Linked DNA regions of Drosophila melanogaster. The protein of the gene in region 1 interacts with the protein of each later gene in a pairwise test. Each region holds a gene or a part of one and is shown on either strand. Other genes may lie near its edges.

Region 1 (5,337 bases):
CAAGGTGGTTTCGGTGGCGGACAAGGCGGCTTTGGCGAACACCACAGACACCATGGAGGACATCATGGGCGCTTCTAATACCCCAATTTCTTAATCGTCTTAAAATCGTAAACAAAAAATAAATAGTTTTTTCCAACATATACCTGCTGTTTTCGTGAACCAAATATTAAGGAGACCACGGATCCTGGAGATAACTCGCAAACGAAGGAAAGAACAAACACGCATCTTGAGGAGACGCAAAACCAAGGAAATACTACACTCTGGGATTCTGCACACAGAAAAGATTGACTCGGCTATTGATCCTGACTAATAATATATATATTAACAATATATACACTTTATTAAGTCGGAATCGTTTAATTCTACATACAAATTTCATAGGATGTGTCACTTCATGTGAGAATATTAACAAGATTATCTTGGCAATAAGCGCTTCGTCACTTCGTGGATCGCTAGATGACGTTTATTTGGGAACTCGTCATCTTCATCACAACCTTTTCATCTGTAAAACGTGACTCTACTAATTATTATATATTTTTATTATTATAATACAATAATAATACAAAAACATATTTACAGAAAATAACTTTGAAACCTATGATTTGTTTCATAACTTAAAATTTATAATTATAATTCAGCAACAAAAATCTTAGATACTGAGATATTACGGGGTATTATGAATAGGTTGGTTTTGATAAAAACGGTAAAGGTATAAAACAAGACATACACCCACAAAAAATAAATTATATTATTCATGCAAGGATGTACCAAGGAGTTTTTCGGACAATTCGGGGATGATTGCAAAACAAAGGTAAATTATTGAACGCCGTGTTGAACAAATCATGCTCAGGTATACCCAGGCTCATTTACCCTGCAAATTATGGCACTGAATGTGGCATGTTTACCTTTCAAATTGAGCGCACAATACAAACCAAATGCGTTTGACACTGAAGTCAGAATATGCCTTTCTCGCAAATCCAGGGACCTTCTTCGTCTCGAAGGATATCAGATTGAGAAAATTAGCTGTTGGAGTGGGGAAAATAATGAGGGATCATAGACACACATTGAGGAAGGCACAGTTACTATTTCATTATATTTTGAAGACTCAGTTTTAATCTAAATAGCAATCTATAGGTTTGTTCAATTGTTTGTTCGGTGTTTTCTTTTATTTCGTTTGTTGTTGTATATGGGCTTTAATTTGAATATTTATTTACAATTTATTTAAGACTCGTTACACCCTTGCTCAAGTCAAATATAGTAACAGTTGCAATAAACAAGCTTTCAACTTATTGCTTACGTGTCTCATCAATATAATTTACAAGAAAAACTTACTTAAGGCTAATCTCCGTTGATGTTTTGCTTTATGTCTCTGTGCTTCACGCATAATTTACTTTACGGATATTTACCGGCTGCTTATTTTGATGCTTCTTTTATTTTGTAGGTATGTGTATTTTTACTAGTGAGAATATTGGTTGGTTAATTGAGAGTATATATAATTACTATATATATCTGACTTCTATATACCATTTTTAACATTTGTAATTTATGTACGTTCGTTTTTACGAATTGAGTTTTTACTATGCGCTTGCGGTTGGTTTTCTTTGTATAAATAAAATAGAATATTTTCGCTTTTGCTTCGCTTCGAATAATACATGCCATATACATACATATAAGAAAATGCTCGATTACGATTCTCATAACTTATGGTTCGACGTTAACCAAATGAGGCCCTCGGACAGGCCATCGCCGGATGTGGCACATGATGGTTGTACATACCAATTGCGATCTCTTATTCTAGTTAAACCTAGTTTTTCCTGGATTTCATGGGGTTTCATTGCTGCAAGAGAGAACAATAAGCGGATGGAAACAATTGGCTGAGCACTATACTAACCATCAGGCAGATCCTGCTTGTTAGCAAATATCAGTATGATGGCGTCGCGCATCTCCCTATCGTTAATTATCCTATGCAGCTCCGTGCGCGCCTCGTCTATCCGATCCCGATCCGCACAATCCACGACGAAGATCAGACCCTGTGTACCCGTGTAATAGTGTCGCCATAGCGGTCGAATCTTATCCTGCCCACCGACGTCCCACACATTGAACTTGACATTCTTATAGGTGACGGTTTCCACATTAAAGCCCACAGTGGGTATCGTTGTAACAGATTGGCCAAGTTTCAGTTTGTACAGAATCGCTGTGGGTGGACAAAAACAATATTACTTTAGACACGCAAAGGATGTATAAACAAAATAGCTCGAATTCGATTAGTGATAGTACTGGTGTACGTATTGAAAGGTCTTTATATTGTACATTTTTTCAAAGTACAATAAGAATAAAAACAAAACAATAATTGCCTCGCCTCAAGAGTATTTTTTAAATGGGATTGGTTTCCACTTAGGAAACTGATGAAACTAATGGGTACTAATCAGGCCCACAATCGAATTCGAGAACCCTTTATTGTTTATGTGCTTACTTGTTTTTCCAGCCGCGTCCAGTCCGAGCATGAGAATTCGCATTTCCTTGTTGCCGAAAATTTTTGATAGTAACTTTCCCATGGTGCTGATGTGTCATCCATTAAACCTTAGCCAATCTGAAAAACAGTTCGAGTAGAGTTGGCGAGGTCTTCCAAATAAGCATATCGATAAGAATAGCTGGGCGAGATTCAGGGCAGGGTCAGTGAATTTCCAGATAATAGGGCCATTGTAATACAGTTTGCAGTTAACATATCAATTTATGATATAAGAACGCCGTCGCGCGAAGGCGCGTAAGTGATATATGAACATACAAATGTAGCTACATATGTACACATACGGCGGGCACAGGCAATTTGGTGGCCATATAGAGCTTGTACGACGGCGGAAGCTAAGACCATTATTTTGCATAATAATTTCACTTACATTGTCATCAGCTCGTTGCTAAAAAGCGAGAAAAAAGTGGAGAGGCAGAATTTATCAGTGAAGAGCTTGCAGCACACAGTCGCACACACAAACACACGCACACATGCTTACACATAGGAAGTACAATTGGACAGATAAACACACTATAGTGTCTCGCAAATTGAGGCAGAGTTATCTCAATTGCGGGCTTATCGCTGGCTCCACTGAATGGGCGGGTGGATCCGACCGCTCCACCCCCGCCCCCTGAACAGCCACCGCACCCCTCGACGACCCAGTAAAGCCGGCTTGGGAGCAACGATATCGGATGGTTTTCGGATTCTACGGAATTTCGCTCGCTCTCTCGCTGCTGCTTGCCTACGTCACAAACACGCCCGTAACACACATACACATGTATACACACCCAAGTCTCCGACGACCGCCGTTACGCACCGCTTTCCAGCCCAATTCGTTCCACGCCAGCCTGAAATCCGTTAACATGTAGTGCCAAAGTGCGCGGGCCGGGGCATAAAATGCATTTGCTAGCACACGGCGGCCAAAAAACTATAACTAACAACAACAATTTTGCACTAATCTTCTTGTATTTATATACACATACACGAAGCAATGTGCCCGTTAGCGCAGAGCGGAACAAGATCTTCGGGAATTCCAGAAAATACGCTAAAAAATGCAAAGAATGCGGAGGATAAATACCAAAAATACTGAATTTATCAGATGAAAAACGGTGACTGGCGGGGATATCGTGATTTTTTGGCCAATAAGTTATTACTTTTGCAATTCAAAATTGAAAAAGATTTATTTTCTTATATTCATTTATTATTCATATTAATTTAGCAAACAATGTAGCTGATATATTCTCCTCGTACGTTCAACAATTTGTTAATTTTTTTTAATTTTAAAAATTTTTGTTTTGTGTATTTAGTGATTTGGTATTTTAATGTAGCCCTGGTGAACTTACAAAGCCCTAGGGCGGCCACACTGAAACCGATGATTGAAATCAAGTCGATTGATTTCAGTTTCCTTCTTTTGTATTGTTTTATATTTGAGCAATACTTACGATACTGACATCGCTCAGAGGTACAATGGAACTTAGTTAGTCGTCGACCAGAACAGACTCGGAAAACATGGCTGGCATTTGCCCCCGGGAGGCGGTTCGGGTGAAAGTGAAGGCAAGTGAAAGGTGGCCAGAAGGCGAGACAACAAAAGGGCTGCTTAGTTTGTGTTCCTCAATCTAATTTTTTTGAAATCGCCCACAGAAATGCGAACCCACTGCTCGGCCGGAGTGGCGAAAGTTTTCAGTGGACCCGCAGATCACCACGCTGGAGGTGTTGTACTCCCTGCTGGCCAAGGCCTTCGATGTCAAGTCGGACTTCTCCATTAAGTACAAGGCCTTTGATCCGGCGGGCAACGAGATCTACCTGGCCGTGCGCTCCGACTGGGATCTGGATGCCGCCTTTCTGAGGATTCACAACATTTCCATTCAGACGGCCTCAGAACCCTGCCTCACCCTGCAGATCGATGTGAAGCCATTTACGGTGGTCAGGGAGTGTGAGACCGAGGCCTCCCCGGGTAGATCCATAACGGGAGCGCCTGCTCCCGCAACTCCTGCACCTTTTGTACCCGCCCGCGAGCTTATGTCACCACTGCAGTCCTTAGGAGTCTCCCAGAAATATGTCCAGCACATGCAGACCAAACTGGGCAGCTCCATTCTGAATCAGATGGAGAAAACCTTCTCCATAGTGCAGAAAGCGTTTAACTTATCCGAGGAGCATATGGCCAATCTACCGCCACGGCCGCCCATGTGCGACAGCGAGTTCCGGCTCTTTCTGGACGCACTTGGTCAGATTCAACGCAAGGACGAGTTGCATAGGGTCATCTTCCTAGGAGGCATTGACCCCAGTCTGCGGCGCGTTGTGTGGAAACATCTGCTTAACGTTTATCCCGGTGGCGCTAACGGACTGGCACTTGATGGACACCAGCGTATGGAATTCATGCGACGAAAGTCTGAGCAGTACTGTCGTCTGAGAGACACATGGAAAGCGGCCGTGAAGCGAGGCAGTGTGGCTGGAGAACTGGCTTACGTAACGAGCATGGTAAAGAAGGATGTTCTCCGCACGGACCGCCTGCATCCATTTTATGCAGGCAGCGACGACAATCAGAACATCGCTGCGCTTTTCAATATCCTCACCACATATGCACTAAACCATCCATCGGTCTCATATTGTCAAGGCATGTCGGACATTGCTTCCCCGCTACTGGTTACCATGAACGACGAGGCACAGGCCTACATCTGCTTTTGTGCGATAATGTCACGTATGCGTGGAAACTTCATGCTGGATGGGATTGCAATGACTCAGAAATTTGCTCACCTAACGGAGGCGCTAAGTTTTTATGATCCTGAGTTCTGGGAGTACCTCAAGTCGCAGCAAGCGGACGACTTACT
Region 2 (3,731 bases), on another chromosome or scaffold:
CATCACTGAGATCATCCGATATGGATATTACGCTCTGAACATCGTCAAGGTGGTGCCGCATTTTGTGGTGTTCCTGCGCTACACCACATTCATTGTCCTGTATCCCATCGGCGTGACTGGGGAGCTGCTGTGCTTCTGGTGGGCCCAGAGCTATGCCCGTGAGAACAGCGTGTGGAGTGTGGTGATGCCCAACAAGTGGAACGCCACCTTCTCGTATTTTGGATTCCTGTGGATCGTCATGCTCGGCTACATCCCCATCTTCCCGCAGTTGTACTTGCACATGTTCGCCCAGCGCCGTAAGATCCTGGGCGGTGGATCCAGCGGCTCACCCCAGAAGAAGGCCAACTGAACCTTGACCAGCGGCGAATGCAAATTATTGCATCATTTGCATATCATTGGCCGTCGCACTTTGAGCCGTTTTCGCTTTTTGGGGTCTCTCTTGCCTCACCTCTTACACAAGCACATTCGTTCGGACTAAGCTTAGTTATAAGTGGTTTTGTGTACAAATAAACCTAGATACTCTTCCAACAAATTTATTTTCCCTTCGCTTTCAAAGTGTGGTGTAACAGTAACGGCTTAAATATTAGTACATTAATGCTGCGACCATTGGATGGTCTTTAGGTCGATGCCCTCTTGGACCATCTCCCACAGCGGCGACATCTCGCGCAGTCGCTCCACATGCTTGATGCACTTATCGGCGGTGTAGTCCACCTCCTCGACGGTGGTAAAGCGCCCGATGCCAAAGCGTATGGAGCTGTGGGCAAGATCCTCGTCGGTGCCGATGGCACGCAGAACATAGGAGGGCTCCAGGGAGGCGGAGGTGCAGGCGGACCCACTGCTCAGGGCCACGTCCTTAAGAGCCATCAGTAGTGACTCGCCCTCGACATAGGCAAACGACAAATTCAGGCAACCATTGTATGTGGCTTTGGCATCACCATTCCTGATGACATGCGGCAAGGCACTTGAAATCCTGTCCAGCAGGCGATTGGATAGAAAGTCCACCCATTTCTTGTCGTAGTCCATCTCACGCAAAGAAAGTTCCGCAGCAGCTCCCAATCCCACGGCGAGCGGGGCTGGAACCGTTCCGCTCCTTAGGCCACGCTCCTGGCCGCCGCCACTTTGGATGGGCTCGAGGCGAACCCTCGGCCTTCGTCGGACATACAGGGCGCCTACACCCTTTGGGCCGTAGATTTTGTGGCCGGATATAGACATCAGGTCAATGTTCATGGCGTTAACGTCCAGCGGGACCTTTCCCACCGCCTGAGCGGCATCCGTGTGAAAGAATACTCGGCGAGACCGGCACAGTTTGCCAATCTCATCGACGGGTTGCCGTACGCCGATTTCGTTATTCACCGTCATAATGGACACCAGCGAGGTCTCCGATGTGATGGTTTCCTCCAGTTGCTGGAGGTCGATGAGTCCGTTGGCCAGCACTGGCAGGTACGTGACTTTAAAGCCCTCGTTCTCTAAAGCACGACAAGAGTCCAGCACGCACTTGTGCTCCGTCTGGGTGGTGATCACGTGTCGCTTCTTAGTGCCGTAGAAACGGGCAACACCCTTTACTGCGATATTATTCGACTCGGTGGCGCCGGATGTGAAGATGATCTCCTTGGGATCGGCGCCAATCAGGGTGGCCACCTGCTCGCGGGCCTTTTCTACAGCGGACTCTGTTTCCCAACCGTAGGCGTGGGTACGGGAGTGGGGATTTCCGTAGAAATTGGTCAGATAGGGGAGCATAGCGTCCAATACACGTGGGTCCATTGGAGTGGTGGCCTGGGCATCCAGGTAAAGTGGTCTACCCTCGGTCTGTTCGTTCTTTATGTTGAATCGCACCTGTCTCTCCCGGAATTCTACGAACGAATACGATTTTGGTAAGCGGTAACTGTGCATCTTGGAGGATCCGCTTACCTTTGGATGTGGCGGCTGGTTTAGCCGCTGTCCTGGAGGAGGTGGCCTCGTGTCTAACCACATTGGCTAATGCATTCGTCGCCCGGGAGCGGAGGACCTGCGCCTGGATGCGTCCCAGCACTTTTTGCATTCTGATGGAATCCTAGAAATTCTGGTGTTAAAATTCGTTATCACGGATTTCACAATCAGTGGGACCGTATTCGGCGGCACGAGATATACCAAAGGACTCCGGAATTCACTTTAAAATTATCTGATTCGATTATGCAGAAGCAAGTTTCTGAATTTCTTTGAACATATGAAAAATGAATAGCATCTGTGCAAGAAACCAATATTTTTCAGATATATTCGCACTTAATGTATAATTTACAAGGAACTATATTTTCAAAAACCAGTTTTCATCTTAAATATGTTTGCTTACAAAATTATCTTAATCATTCAGCGAACTTAAGTTACGAATTCACGAAATTGCGCGCATAGGCACGGTATATTTTTCTCAGTGAGCCATAAAATACTCAAAGAATACTCAATACGCAAAGTAAGACAATTATAAACAAAAGTACAAAAGTTGAAGCAGTTTTGAAATAATAAATATAGGAAATAGGCAAAAATTAAAATCAAATTTAAATATGGTTGTCTGCCGGTTCTTTCAACAAGGCTCCTGCCGCTATGGCGCAAAGTGCAACAACGAGCATTTCGATGTTAAGTGAGTACATTGATATTAAAACTATGCAGATGAACTAATAACTTAATTATTTTAGGCAATATCTCAAAGCCGACATGGAATCCAGCCTCAATGGCAAGATGTGGCCTTTGTCCGCCTACGGACCCTTTAAGGACAAAGCGAATTTCCCCAACTTTATTCAGGACCAATCCTTCGAGGAGGTGCGGTTCATGTGTTACGAGGCCAAACGACAAAACCAATTCGAACAGTTCAGCCAACAGTTTAACCGTGAGGTCCTAGAGGCTAACAACAAGATGAAGACCATGCTTCAGATGTCGCCGCAGGTCCTGGAAATGATGATCAAGATCCACGAGACGCCGGAGGGCGGCACTGTGTCGGCTGCCCCTCAGCAGTCCAGTAATCCCTTCGCTGCAGCAGCTCCGGCTGCCGCCAATACATCTGCATCCATTTTTGGAAAGCCCACGCTGAGTGCGGGAAATATATTTGGGAATGCCACAAGCCAAGCCAGCAACACCAATAGCATTTTCGGCGGAACGATTAGCAATGCCAATGCAAGGAATAGCATTTTTGGTGTAGGAGCTGCGGCAACAGGTGCACAAAGTGTCTTTGGACAGCCACAGCAGCAACAGCTGCAGCCTGCTGCACAAGCTTTCCAAGGGGGCAACATTTTCGCCCAGGCGCAGGTTCAGGTGCAAGCTCAGCCAGTGAATCCTAATCCTTTCGGTGGTTTCCAACAGCAGCAGCAGCAACCGCAGTCGACGGGAATCTTTGGCCAAGCCGCAAGCCAAAATATGGGCGGAATGTTTACTCAGGCTTCTCAGCAACTACAACAGCAGCAGCAGGCAGCTGCCTCCGGATTATTTGCTCAAGCAGCAGCATCTGCATTCCCTAATCAACAACAGATGCAGCAGCAGCAACAGATGCAGCAGCAGCAACAGATGCAACAGCAACAAATGCATCAGCAGCAGCAGATGCAATAGCAACAAATGCAGCAGCAACAACAATTTCAAATGCAACAGCAACAGCAAATGATGCAGCAGCAGCAGCAGCAGCAAGCTCAACCGACCAACGAAATCCAGTCCTCAGTTTACAGTCGCATGGAGGATCTCAACGAGCAGGAAATCGAAGCATTCAAGGCGGA
Region 3 (5,030 bases), on another chromosome or scaffold:
ACATTTCCCCTATCGATCACTGTCTTTTTGTTTACGATCCCCTGGGCAGTTACGTTGGTTTTTTTTAAATATATTTTTGGTTGCTAAGCCAAGAGTCTTTTCTTTGGATTGCATAAAAGCTTTTCGAACGGCCACATCTGCCTTCAGCTACTGAAATTCAAATGGTCGTACATCTGAAGCGTTTCCTGACTTCCAGCCGCACTTCTATCTATTTACCAACTTTTGCTCGCACGTCGGATGGCCAATTAAACGGCCGCCGAAAAAGCACTAACCCACAACGCAGGCATTATAAAAGAATTAATAAGCAATTGCATAACGCTGGCTACGTGTCGAAGTAGGAAGTTAGCTGAATAGCGCAAAAATGTGAGAAATTCATGCAAGTTCCAGAGTAGAAAGCCCCAAATATTTAGCTCTAATGGCTTCCCAGCATAATTGGTTAGTACCCACTAACCACTACGTATTTTCACTTTCATAATATGCAGAAGTGTCTAGTGGCTAATGGCATTGGTCAGATACGATCTGATCATCTGCAGATCTGATGCTATCGATGGTATCTGTGACTTTCCTATGTCTTCGAAACAAATGACCAGATACAAGATGGCAGATTGCATAATGTTCATGCGAAACGAAAATAGAAAACAGAAACAACAATCGAAGAAATAACACTGAAGAAATGGATGTGTGCATGGCGGTGGGGTGATATATACAAATAATTTGTAGCGGTTTATCATCTAACGGCATTATTGGGCAACCTCCACTCCAATCCAATTCCAATTCCACTCCAACACTCCAAAACTCCAACACTCTGCTCGCCAACGCCAGCATTTAAACTATTTTCTTGTTATGTACTTCAGCTGAGTTTTGGCATCGATTTTTGGCCAACAGAAAATCCGATGCGTCATTCGCGATAATTGCGCGTGCCAGGGAGTCAGACATACAAATTATTTATGAAACTAACTGCTCGCTCATAAATTGGTGTGGCGAGCACATCGAAATCGAAATCTAGCTAGCCCTAGAGCAGAAGCAAATCAAATACAAATATTACGTATACGTTCGAGAGAGATCCACACGCGTCGCGCAGGAACTGTTGCAATCCGGGGACCGACCCAACGATGGGACATTGAACTCGAAACGAACGCGAACCTGCCCAGCCGAGTTTGTAAACAAACTGGGCTTATGTAATCGCTTAATTATAATGGAAATGAAAATGCCAAAACGACAGCAAGAAACTGTGCTTTTTGTTTGCTCGGAATGGTAATGGTAGATGGTAGATGGTAATGGTAAAAGGTAAATGCCAGTGGTAAACAAGCTTGAAGGCTGCGCTTGTAGGGATATGCATTTCTGGTTTGTGCTCAAATCCATTTGCATGGCAATGAAATGTACCAGAAAGTGGGTCAGCTTATGACAGGACTCGAAGCCGACGAACAACATTCACCCACAGAGAAAGAAAATCTAATACGATATACGTATGTTCAAATAATATGTGACAAGTATCAAAATGTTTGTAATGTATGTAAAGGCTTTAAGTAAAAAAAAATGTATATATATATATATATATATAAGTATCTTTAAAATTTTAGAAGACAGTAAGGTTTTCTTTCAGAGATTCGCCTGAGAAACCAACATTACTGGCAACGAGGAGAAATTACTGAATGTCTGAAAGGAAACATAAATTCTGTACCCGAAAAGGGATCTTTCTTTCTTTTATTATTCATTGTGGCTGTAGAAGTGGCAGCGACGTCGGCAGTGGCAGCGACGGCTACTGCGACGGCGAAAGAAAAACGAAGAAACGAAGCAACAACTTTCACCTATTAATATTCGTGTCGTAGCAGCGGCAGAAGCGAGCTGCCAAAGCCAAAGCTAAAGCTGTAGCTAAAGCCAGGCCAAAAGACCGAGACCGAGGCAGAAGCAGAGTCAGAGTCAGAGATACAGATACATTGCCAGCCAAAGATACAGATACTGCAGAAGCAGAAGCAACAAAACAACTAGTCACTGCCGATGCTCAACGACGGCAACACATCGCATATAGCATCGCATGTAGCATGTAGCTCGAAACTCCCAACTTCAAGCTTCAAGCTCCAAACTGGCTGCAACTCCAGCCAGTTGGGTCCCCTTGCTGGGGAAACTTTCTATAAAAAAAGCAGCTTTTGCTTTTTGTTTTGAAAATTTCTTTCTGGCTGCGCAGGTTGCCCGAGTGCACGGTTTGGTTCGAACGTTTGTTTGTTTGTTGCTTTCGCTTGGCATTCTGCACTCCAATGGGGCACATCCAGACTCGAACGGATCCGAAACGCCTTTTGCGTTTGTTACTTTTCTTATTGGTAAAACTAGCTTAGAATATTTGGATTTATAGTTATTCCCTACTAAACCCAAAGTATCTAGTAGTTAGTAACTACTGCTTGTTAGTAGCTAGCCAAGTTCAAGGCAACTTACAACAATATCTGGTCGAGTATTGACAATTCGCATTGACTGTGGGTGTCATAATCTCGTTGGCAGCCATATCCAAATCCAATTGTTTGATGATAATAGTGCTGTGTGCTAGGTGTACTCCAATCCCGATTGGTATCCTTGAGCTGTTCGGGAACTTTCCGTAATCCAATGGGCGCACACAAAATATATGTTTTTTTCTTTGATAGTTTCTCTTCTCGAAGCTTATTTGGTTGGCTGGCGGTGGCCGGTTTTCATTGTAGCATATCAATATTTGTCATTCAAGTGGCACTCACGCACCGAAACACCGAAAAATCACTTTCACTTTTGCGTTTTGATATGCAGAGAACACAAGGCAGTTAATAAATACGGATGCGTGGTCTTCGAAATCCGGAGAGAGGGGAGTGAAATTCAAGATCGCAAAACCACAGAGTCAAAAGAGGATAACATTTTGATTACACTTGGGCAGCATGATGCTGTTGCTATTCCACACTTTTCATATGATCTTGTTTTCTTTTCGAGTATTTTTCTTATATGATTTTCTTGCTATGAAGTTTCTGCGCAGGCGCGACTTTCTACGAGCTGGTCTGGCGATTCTTGCGCGCCGAACGGTGGAACGTAACGTCTGCCTCGAAACGCGGTAGACGTCTGTGCGGCAGCGCGCAGTGAAACCAGCGCTTATCCTCAAAGATCGCTAAGAAATTTCATGCCATTCCATTTCGTTTCTCAGCGGCAGCGACGCTTTCGCTTGCCGCACTCACACACCTGCAAGGTGGAAGCTCTGCCGTTGGTTCTTCGGCTCAAGAGTGCTTTTACCATTTCTTTCTCTCGCGCATACATGCACGTTCGAGCGCACTCACACACACACGGGCCATAGCAAGTTTGGTTCTTCGTTGAAGTCTTTTGTTTTGGTCCGCCGTTTGTGTTTGCCATGTGCTCTGAGTAAGAGTTTCGCCTTGGGAGCTCACTCTCGCACACCAAAGCCGAAATGGTTAATTATTTACAGCTTACCATCGTTTCGATTCCAGTGCGTTCCCCAGCTGCTTTTATAACTTTAACTTTCATCGCTGCCTTCTTAGACCAGCTTTTCCCACTTCCTCCACCCCACCCCCTGCTCGTGTTTGCCAAGCGCTGAAAATTACAACTTTCGTCTATTTTTGTCAAGATTTTTTTTATAATTATATAATTTAAGCGTTTTTTCTTCTTCTTGTCGCACATTTTTGGCCCCCGTTTCGCTGGCAATCTGATTCCGTTCGCTTTTCCATTGTTGCTGCCGTTTTTACTTTTCTTTGCATAAACCGCACGGCTAATTACGCACAAGGAGAGTGAAACTCCATTAGATTCTTAATTATACTTTAATTGCCAACGGATAGATAATGTGGAGAGCAGCACCCAGCGAGCCGGGCAGAAATCAACTTGAATCGCCTCACCAGTGGGTTGCAGTTGCAGTGAGTTGCATTTGGAAATCTTTCACCGCTGCATTTCTCATTGTTGCTGGCGGTACTAGTACTGGTACTGGTACTGGTACTGGTACTGGTACTGGGACTGGGTCTGGTGCTCGTACTGCTCTTTCTACTGGTCTACCCATGCGCAGTTAGCGTTGCAAAGCTCTGTCTTCAGCAGGCTCCATTTGGAGTGGTCTTGCTGGGGCTCTTGGGTGCTTTTCGGGGAGCCGGGGCTCTCTGCACTTACAGTTGTTTCTTTTGTCTTACACTCGGATGCGCGATGCTGCCCTGCTGGTTGTAGTTGTAGAAAACTTTCTAATGTAGAAGATGTCTGCATTAGACACTTCCCCTGGCCATTGTACTTGGATTGAATTGCCCCGCTGCCGCCGTGGGGCACAGTGGTAGGCCTCTATTTACTCGGCATTTGTCAGCTTTTTATTTCTTTCGAGATTTTCCCAAGCTTGATAAATTGTCGGCGAGAATTTCAATGTTGTAAAGTTGTATAGGCAGTATTCTAAGCTTGTGAGTTCACACCGTTGCCGATTGATCGATTCTTTTAACATATTTTACTCAGCTGGGTGAAAGTTTGTGTGATAAAGCCACCGACTGTTACATATAGAGATGTAAATCATCTTTCCATTGCGGATACATCGAGTATACCGTATCCACATCCACTTCAAGTAGGGATGCAGAACCTGTCGAAGATCCATTTAGTCATCCAGTGCTCAATCTTGTGTCGCATGACCACGACTTTCGACCAACTAATAGGCCCGAATTTGTATTTACATGCTAATGAGCAACGGAATATTTTGTTTCTACTGAAAACGAAAACGCATTTTATTGCCAAACGATGATCTTTGTCAATAGGAGAGCTAATAGATTTAATTGGACGGCTGGTTCGTTATATAAATCTCGACCGGGCCAGAACTGCTGGGGGAAAAAGAAACGAGCTAAGATGTATCGCGGCTAAATGATTAATGCAGCTAAGAGTCGAGACCCCAAAAGCCAAAATCGTATTTTCACTTTTTAATAATTAACATAAAATTATTAAGAAGACGGCGAAGAAGCTGTGCAGAGGGCGAGGCAGAACGAGCGAAGATGCCGAAAACGATGCCAAACGCATTAAGCGCCCAGCCACAAAGACAAGGCAAGGTAAAGAAT
Region 4 (5,556 bases), on another chromosome or scaffold:
ATCTGTAGTCCAGCGGAAATAACTTAATCATGGAGGGGAGCGAGTTGACGCGGTTTGGCATTCCGGAGGACTCATCTTTCCCCCGTGGTATTTGTGTGTGATATTTTTAAGTTGTACTTCAGCGGAATACAGAAAACACGCCCCGAACGTAATGCATAATGATAATGTATTCTAAAATTATTAATAATAAATATTAAATAAAGTAATCGTAACACGCAAAGCCCACCTCGGTTCCTTGACCATCACAATGTTGACAAGACGTAATATGAGATGATGTCATTTCCGTTTCACCCCAGCGAACAGCCAATCCGTCGTCTAAACATCTTCTAATCTGTGCCCTGTATTTCTCGGATTGGAATTAAGTCATCAGACCGATTTAGAAAATCGGATCTTGATTGTCGGCACACACAAACGCAGCTACTTTACCGGCATTTACAAAATTCTTCGAGGAGACATATTTCGATGCAATAGTTCAGTACAGAAAAGGGAATTTTGAGTTTGTTTTCTCATTTAATTGTTGAAAGCAGTAAAGTTGTCTAACAAGATTTCTTTGGGGCTTTGCGCCGTTTAACAGTAATTATAGTTTGAACAAAGCATTTGATCGCAAGTAGACATTGAGATTTAAAATTGGTAACCCTATATACATACATATATTTCGGTGGGTCAAGTCTGAAACTAGCTCATTTCCAAATAAACAATAAACTGACTTTAGGCATGAGGAATCCGTTTTATGTTTTAGCAGTATTTTATCTCCTTAAAAGCTGAACTGAAAATTCTCATATATTGCAATTCACAAAGGACACTGTTTAGAACAGTGACTACGTTTGCAGATAAATGAATTATCAAAAACTTTACAAGTTTATTCATTTGAATATTTTAGATATGTGACATAGAATTGTCTTCTACGAATCTAAGAAACCTCCTATGATTGCCTAGTAGACCTTTTATGTTTCTTTGGAAATGTGACCATTAAGTTTCCGGAATAGGAACTTAGTTATATCCCTCAAATTGACCCATCCAAGTAATACATTAATCGAATTAATACATTAAAACTGCTGGAGCCGCAGCTCAACTTGTAGAGCAATACAGGCCCGTCGTTCCTCCTTTAGTTCCATGCCCAGCATATTCTTCTTGTGCTCCAGCAGCGCATTCTCCCGTGTATAGTGCTCGATTATCCGCTCATAGTCGGATTCTGGGGGAGCCTGAGATCCCGAGGCCAAGGAGGCCATTTGACTGTTTATTGACTGCTGCTCGTACAGCTGCTTGAGCCTATAGACTTCGTTGCGCTCGGCGACGATACGTGCTTTTAGTTCGTTCTGCCATTCCATTAGCTCGTCATATTCAATTTGGAGCCGCAGCAAATTTTCGCGGTGCGGATTTGATTTGGGGAGCAAAATAAAGCCAGTGCTGGGATCAATAGTAAAATCGTTAGGAGCATCTTTCGGAGTTAGTGTATCGGTTTTTGGCTCTTCCTGGGAAATACTGTTGTTCGTAGATACGGCTGGAGTTCCAGCTGGTTTGGAGTCAGTGGTATCTTCACTGGCTACAGCGGGCGGAGCACTGCTGCTGTTGTCTACTTCCTCCGCAGTCTTTTCCTGTTTCTTCTCAAAAGTTCGTAGTTTCCGCTTCAGCTGGGTAATGATGCGCTGCACTTCCCACAGCTGTTCCTCGCGTTTCTTGGTAATGAACCCGGCGTTCATCTCGCTGTGGATCTGGGACAGGAGGCTGTCCTGCTTGCGCAACTCCGTCTGGATGTCCTCCGGCGTATCCGGAAGCTTTGGGCTGGTCGATGTTAAAGGGGGCACATACCTAAGAGATGACAATTTAGTATTATGATAACTTTGTTTAAATGTGTGCCATTCTGCCTGATTAGAAAACTGGCGAAACGTGGAAAGCGCTTCTGTTTACGGGGTAATGTGCTCATCGTCGGTTGCAAAATAAACGACTAAATCTGGCGATTTTTATAGCAGCAATCTTATCAACTGCCAACAGTGGTGGGAATTATCTGGGTTCTTATAAGTACCTATTATACATATAAAAAAACAATTTATATCATTAGATAAATATGGAAACTAACAGTTTACTAAAACTAACAGTTTAGTAGTTAACTTCAGAGCTATGACTTCGATTCGTTCTTGTGATTTAACTATAGTTGTTAAATGTGGACTTCTCTTTTACCAACACAAAGGTACTTGGATATTTCCCACCACTGTTATCCGGCTAGCCGGTGTTTGCTCACTTTATCAGCTGGACGTCCGCGAACAAGTTGTTGCAGTGGCAGAGTAGGGCCACCATTAGTCGGTGAGACATCTGGAGCGTCGGACTGAGCAGCATAGCCAGCGACTGAGCGTTGAGCTTATTGTGTCTTTCCTGCTGGATCACCGCGTCGAAGTGGAGCAGCACCCACGCCAAGAGGGTGCGATTGCACTTGGGCAATTGTTCAAGCAGCTGCTGCAGCTCTGCCTGCTGCGTGGTTACCTTCGGATGAGAGGCTACCTCCTCAAAGCGGGCCACCAGATCGGTGGTCAGCAGTGGCTCCGGCAGTTCGCGCAGGAAGAGCTTCAGCAGACTGCAGGCGGTAGGCAGGTTGAGCTCATCAACGGCGGAGTCGTGCTCCCGGTTGTTGTACAACCGCTTGAAGTGCATCAGACGCGTCTTGATGGGCTCAATCTTGTAGATCTGCTCACACTTCAGGTGATCCTGCAGGAAGTCGATGCAGTCGCGCACAACCAGGGGAATGTCCACGCCGTCGTGGCAGCGGGATCGTTCGGTCGCCAAGCTAACGGACACCCCAAAGACGGGATACCCAAGTGCCAGCACTTCCTCCGCGGCGGAGACGTCGTCCTGCTGCTGCGACAGCTGCTTGCTCTTCTTATCCTTTTTGTCCTTCTTGTCAGCCTTCTTGTCCTTTTCCTTGCGCTTCTCCTCCTTGTCCTTCTTCTTGGGCTCATCACGGTCCTTCTCCTTATCCCGCTCTTTCTCCTTGACCTTGTGGGAGACGGAAGGCTCCTCCTCTGCGTGCTTCGAGTCTTTTTCAGACTTGTCCCGCGACTTTTCCCGCTTCTCCTTGCTCTTGGAGCTGGTGAACTTAAAGGTCTTTGACTTTTTCGACTTGGATGGACTTCTGGAAGTAAAAGAAAAAATATTACTTGTCTCTGGGTCAGCTGACCTGCACCCACTTGGTGTCCAGCTCCTCCTCCGGCGAGCTCTCGCCCTCCAGAGCGGCGTATCCTCGATCCTTGCCCTTTTCCTTCTTGTCCTTGCGCCGGCCAATCAACAAGTCCTTCTTGCTATGGTCGTGATCCTCACTAACTGTAAAGGCAAGGTGAGCCCATTGATTTTTTCCCAGCTTACGCCCACATCTTTGCGCTCCACTCACAGTCGCTCTCCTCCTTGCTCTTCCTCGACTTAGCGTCCGCCGCCTCGGAGGCGTACAGCCCGGGAAACTCCTTCTCCTCGGGACTGTCAAAATCCATCACGAATAATCACTTCACCAGCAGTAAATAAATATAAACAATTGCCGTAAACAACATATGCAACAAATAATCGATTGCTTAATCGAAGTCGCCGCTGCTATCCAACACTGATAAGTGCACAGATGGCGCTACTGTGTCATGTAAAAAATATGTAGTAACGGTGTAGATATTTAAAAAAAGGCAAATTGAAACAAGAGAAAACGCTACAGTCGAGTTCCTCAACTATCAGAAATGCGATCAGCTACTAACTCTTAAATTTTTATAATATTAATATATATATATATATATATATATAATAAATAAATAAATAAATATGTGTTAATATATAATATAATAATAATAATATTTTAAATAATTTAAATTCTAAGAAAATATTTTTTATATATATACATAAACTACATAATACATAAAACTTCCAAAATGACAAGAGTACCACCTCTGTAACTACAGGATTTTGTTAATTGTGCGCGCTAGTGTGGGCGTGGTGAAAATGTTTTTTCACAAGTATACAAATTGCCAAGACTATTTATAAAATAAAACTAAATCAAACCATTTTTTCAGGGTGGGGCTGTAAAACTATAAGGCGGTTTGTTAACTTCTAAACTCCCAGAAACCGAAACCAGAATACAGCGATGAAAAAAAACTATTCGTTTATTAGTTTAAGTAATATTCATATATATATATGTATATATATAAAAATTAATAAGTTTGCGATACAATGTTCTTAATTGGTACGGAAACGCTTCCTTATACCTTTTGCATTCTTTTTACTTTACGAGTAGGCGGTTGTGTAGCAAATAAGTTAATCAGTATAATTATTTCACGACCAATCAATCCCGCGGTGCATCGCTTATCACTCAGCTTGAGTAGGGGTAAACAGTAGAGAGGAGGAGGATTAGGTCGCCTCCATTACCGGCAAGCCAAACAAATGCTAATAGTGCGAGCTGATGCGGCTGATGCAATTCCGCAGGGTGGATTGCGGCATCTCCAAAATGCTACACAGATTAGCTTACGGCCACTATAAACTGGCCATCAGCAGCTGGGAGCCGTTGAGAGCCAAGGATAGTGGCGTGGCCATCGTTGTCGTGGTGGTCGCGTTTCTGCTAATTGCTCTATTTGGGAGACAGACACTGTCGGAATAGGCCATAACCAGTCCAGCAATCAGGGTCAGCAGGAAAGTCAGGCCCAGGAGCCCGCAGCTGAGGCGCCGTACGGCCTGCCACCAGGGATCCAGAGCGAAGGGCAGGAGCTCCTCGAGCGTCAGTCCGTAGGAATAGCTACGAAAGAAGCGGGCAGGCGGCACTGTGTAACGAAGTTATTTTTTAATGAAATACGACGGAAAGCGTTTACTCAGCAGTTGTGAAAATGGGCTCATAATCCTTTGGATCCTTCCCCGTCGCGGGCACGACAATGATGTGCTGCTGCTGCCGCTGCTGCCGCTGCTGATGTCCTTGTTGCGTTGCCAGAAGCGCTGTCTTCTCGTTGCAGGACATATTTGCCGTGTGGTACCCTGGATGTGTGCCGAACAAGAGGGTATACGCAGTTTATGTAACTTTATCTGTAACAAGAAGTGAAAATAATAATAATAATGAATAATGATTTATTCAAATGACTGATAATTTATATATGATAACTGTGACATGTATCTTTCGTTTTTTTTTTGTCAATACCACCAAAGTTGCCGTAGCCCCTTGCAGGCACGACAGATAACTATAGATGGGAACTGGGTATTTTACAGTCCTTTTTCAGCCCTTCTCACGGGATAGTACCAGGATTGCAAACACTCCCGGCTGGAAATTGCTCCATTCGCAACTGGCGGACTACTGGCGACTGGCTTCGTTCTGTCGCAACTTTAATTAGCTTGCAGCTGGGTTGTCTCTCTGTCCCATTGCTTTATTGCCATTGCTGTTTGTCTTTGTGCTCGGTCCGGATTCCTGTAAACAACTTTATCTCCATGGGCCGTGGCGATCCGCTCATCTTCCGCAACCGGCGGTTGGTCTTATCTGGCGCTTTTTTGGGGCATTACATAACCGCAGCAGAGAAGTCGCCTCCCCCAGTTTCCCATAGCGATAAGGATAAG

Evidence for each region.
Region 2: the proteins of Arf6 (region 1) and Nfs1 interact in a two-hybrid assay, tested with the Drosophila melanogaster proteins (one large-scale study listed by BioGRID).
Region 3: the proteins of Arf6 (region 1) and CG6118 interact in a two-hybrid assay, tested with the Drosophila melanogaster proteins (one large-scale study listed by BioGRID).
Region 4: the proteins of Arf6 (region 1) and Rlip interact in a two-hybrid assay, tested with the Drosophila melanogaster proteins (one large-scale study listed by BioGRID).

The regions. Positions count from the first base shown.
Region 1 is NT_033778.4:15,320,702-15,326,038, reverse strand, and holds Arf6 (ADP ribosylation factor 6), read right to left. Parts: upstream 3,539-5,337; 5' UTR 3,327-3,538; exon of another isoform or gene 3,298-3,326; intron 3,237-3,297; exon of another isoform or gene 3,009-3,236; intron 2,916-3,008; 5' UTR 2,898-2,915; intron 2,591-2,897; 5' UTR 2,556-2,590; coding exon 2,474-2,555; intron 2,195-2,473; coding exon 1,892-2,194; intron 1,838-1,891; coding exon 1,695-1,837; 3' UTR 549-1,694; downstream 1-548. Other genes in the region: CG8157 (uncharacterized protein), read left to right, coding at 1-78; CG8155 (uncharacterized protein), read left to right, coding at 4,019-4,063, 4,151-5,337. UniProt on the Drosophila melanogaster protein: GTP-binding protein involved in protein trafficking; may modulate vesicle budding and uncoating within the Golgi apparatus. Promotes cell movement and remodeling of the actin cytoskeleton during compound eye morphogenesis.
Region 2 is NT_033779.5:11,998,032-12,001,762, reverse strand, and holds Nfs1 (Nfs1 cysteine desulfurase), read right to left. Parts: upstream 2,110-3,731; 5' UTR 2,039-2,109; coding exon 1,909-2,038; intron 1,851-1,908; coding exon 592-1,850; 3' UTR 519-591; downstream 1-518. Other genes in the region: Hacd1 (3-hydroxyacyl-CoA dehydratase 1), read left to right, coding at 1-349. UniProt on the Drosophila melanogaster protein: Catalyzes the removal of elemental sulfur from cysteine to produce alanine. It supplies the inorganic sulfur for iron-sulfur (Fe-S) clusters.
Region 3 is NT_033777.3:15,431,688-15,436,717, forward strand, and holds the start of CG6118 (uncharacterized protein), read right to left. Parts: upstream 3,052-5,030; 5' UTR 2,498-3,051; coding exon 2,431-2,497; intron 1-2,430.
Region 4 is NT_033777.3:21,015,698-21,021,253, reverse strand, and holds Rlip (Ral interacting protein), read right to left. Parts: upstream 3,571-5,556; 5' UTR 3,477-3,570; coding exon 3,380-3,476; intron 3,313-3,379; coding exon 3,180-3,312; intron 3,125-3,179; coding exon 2,240-3,124; intron 1,810-2,239; coding exon 1,047-1,809; 3' UTR 501-1,046; downstream 1-500. Other genes in the region: CG5697 (uncharacterized protein), read right to left, coding at 4,495-4,753, 4,827-4,969. UniProt on the Drosophila melanogaster protein: Participates in receptor endocytosis during interphase, is also involved in mitotic processes when endocytosis is switched off.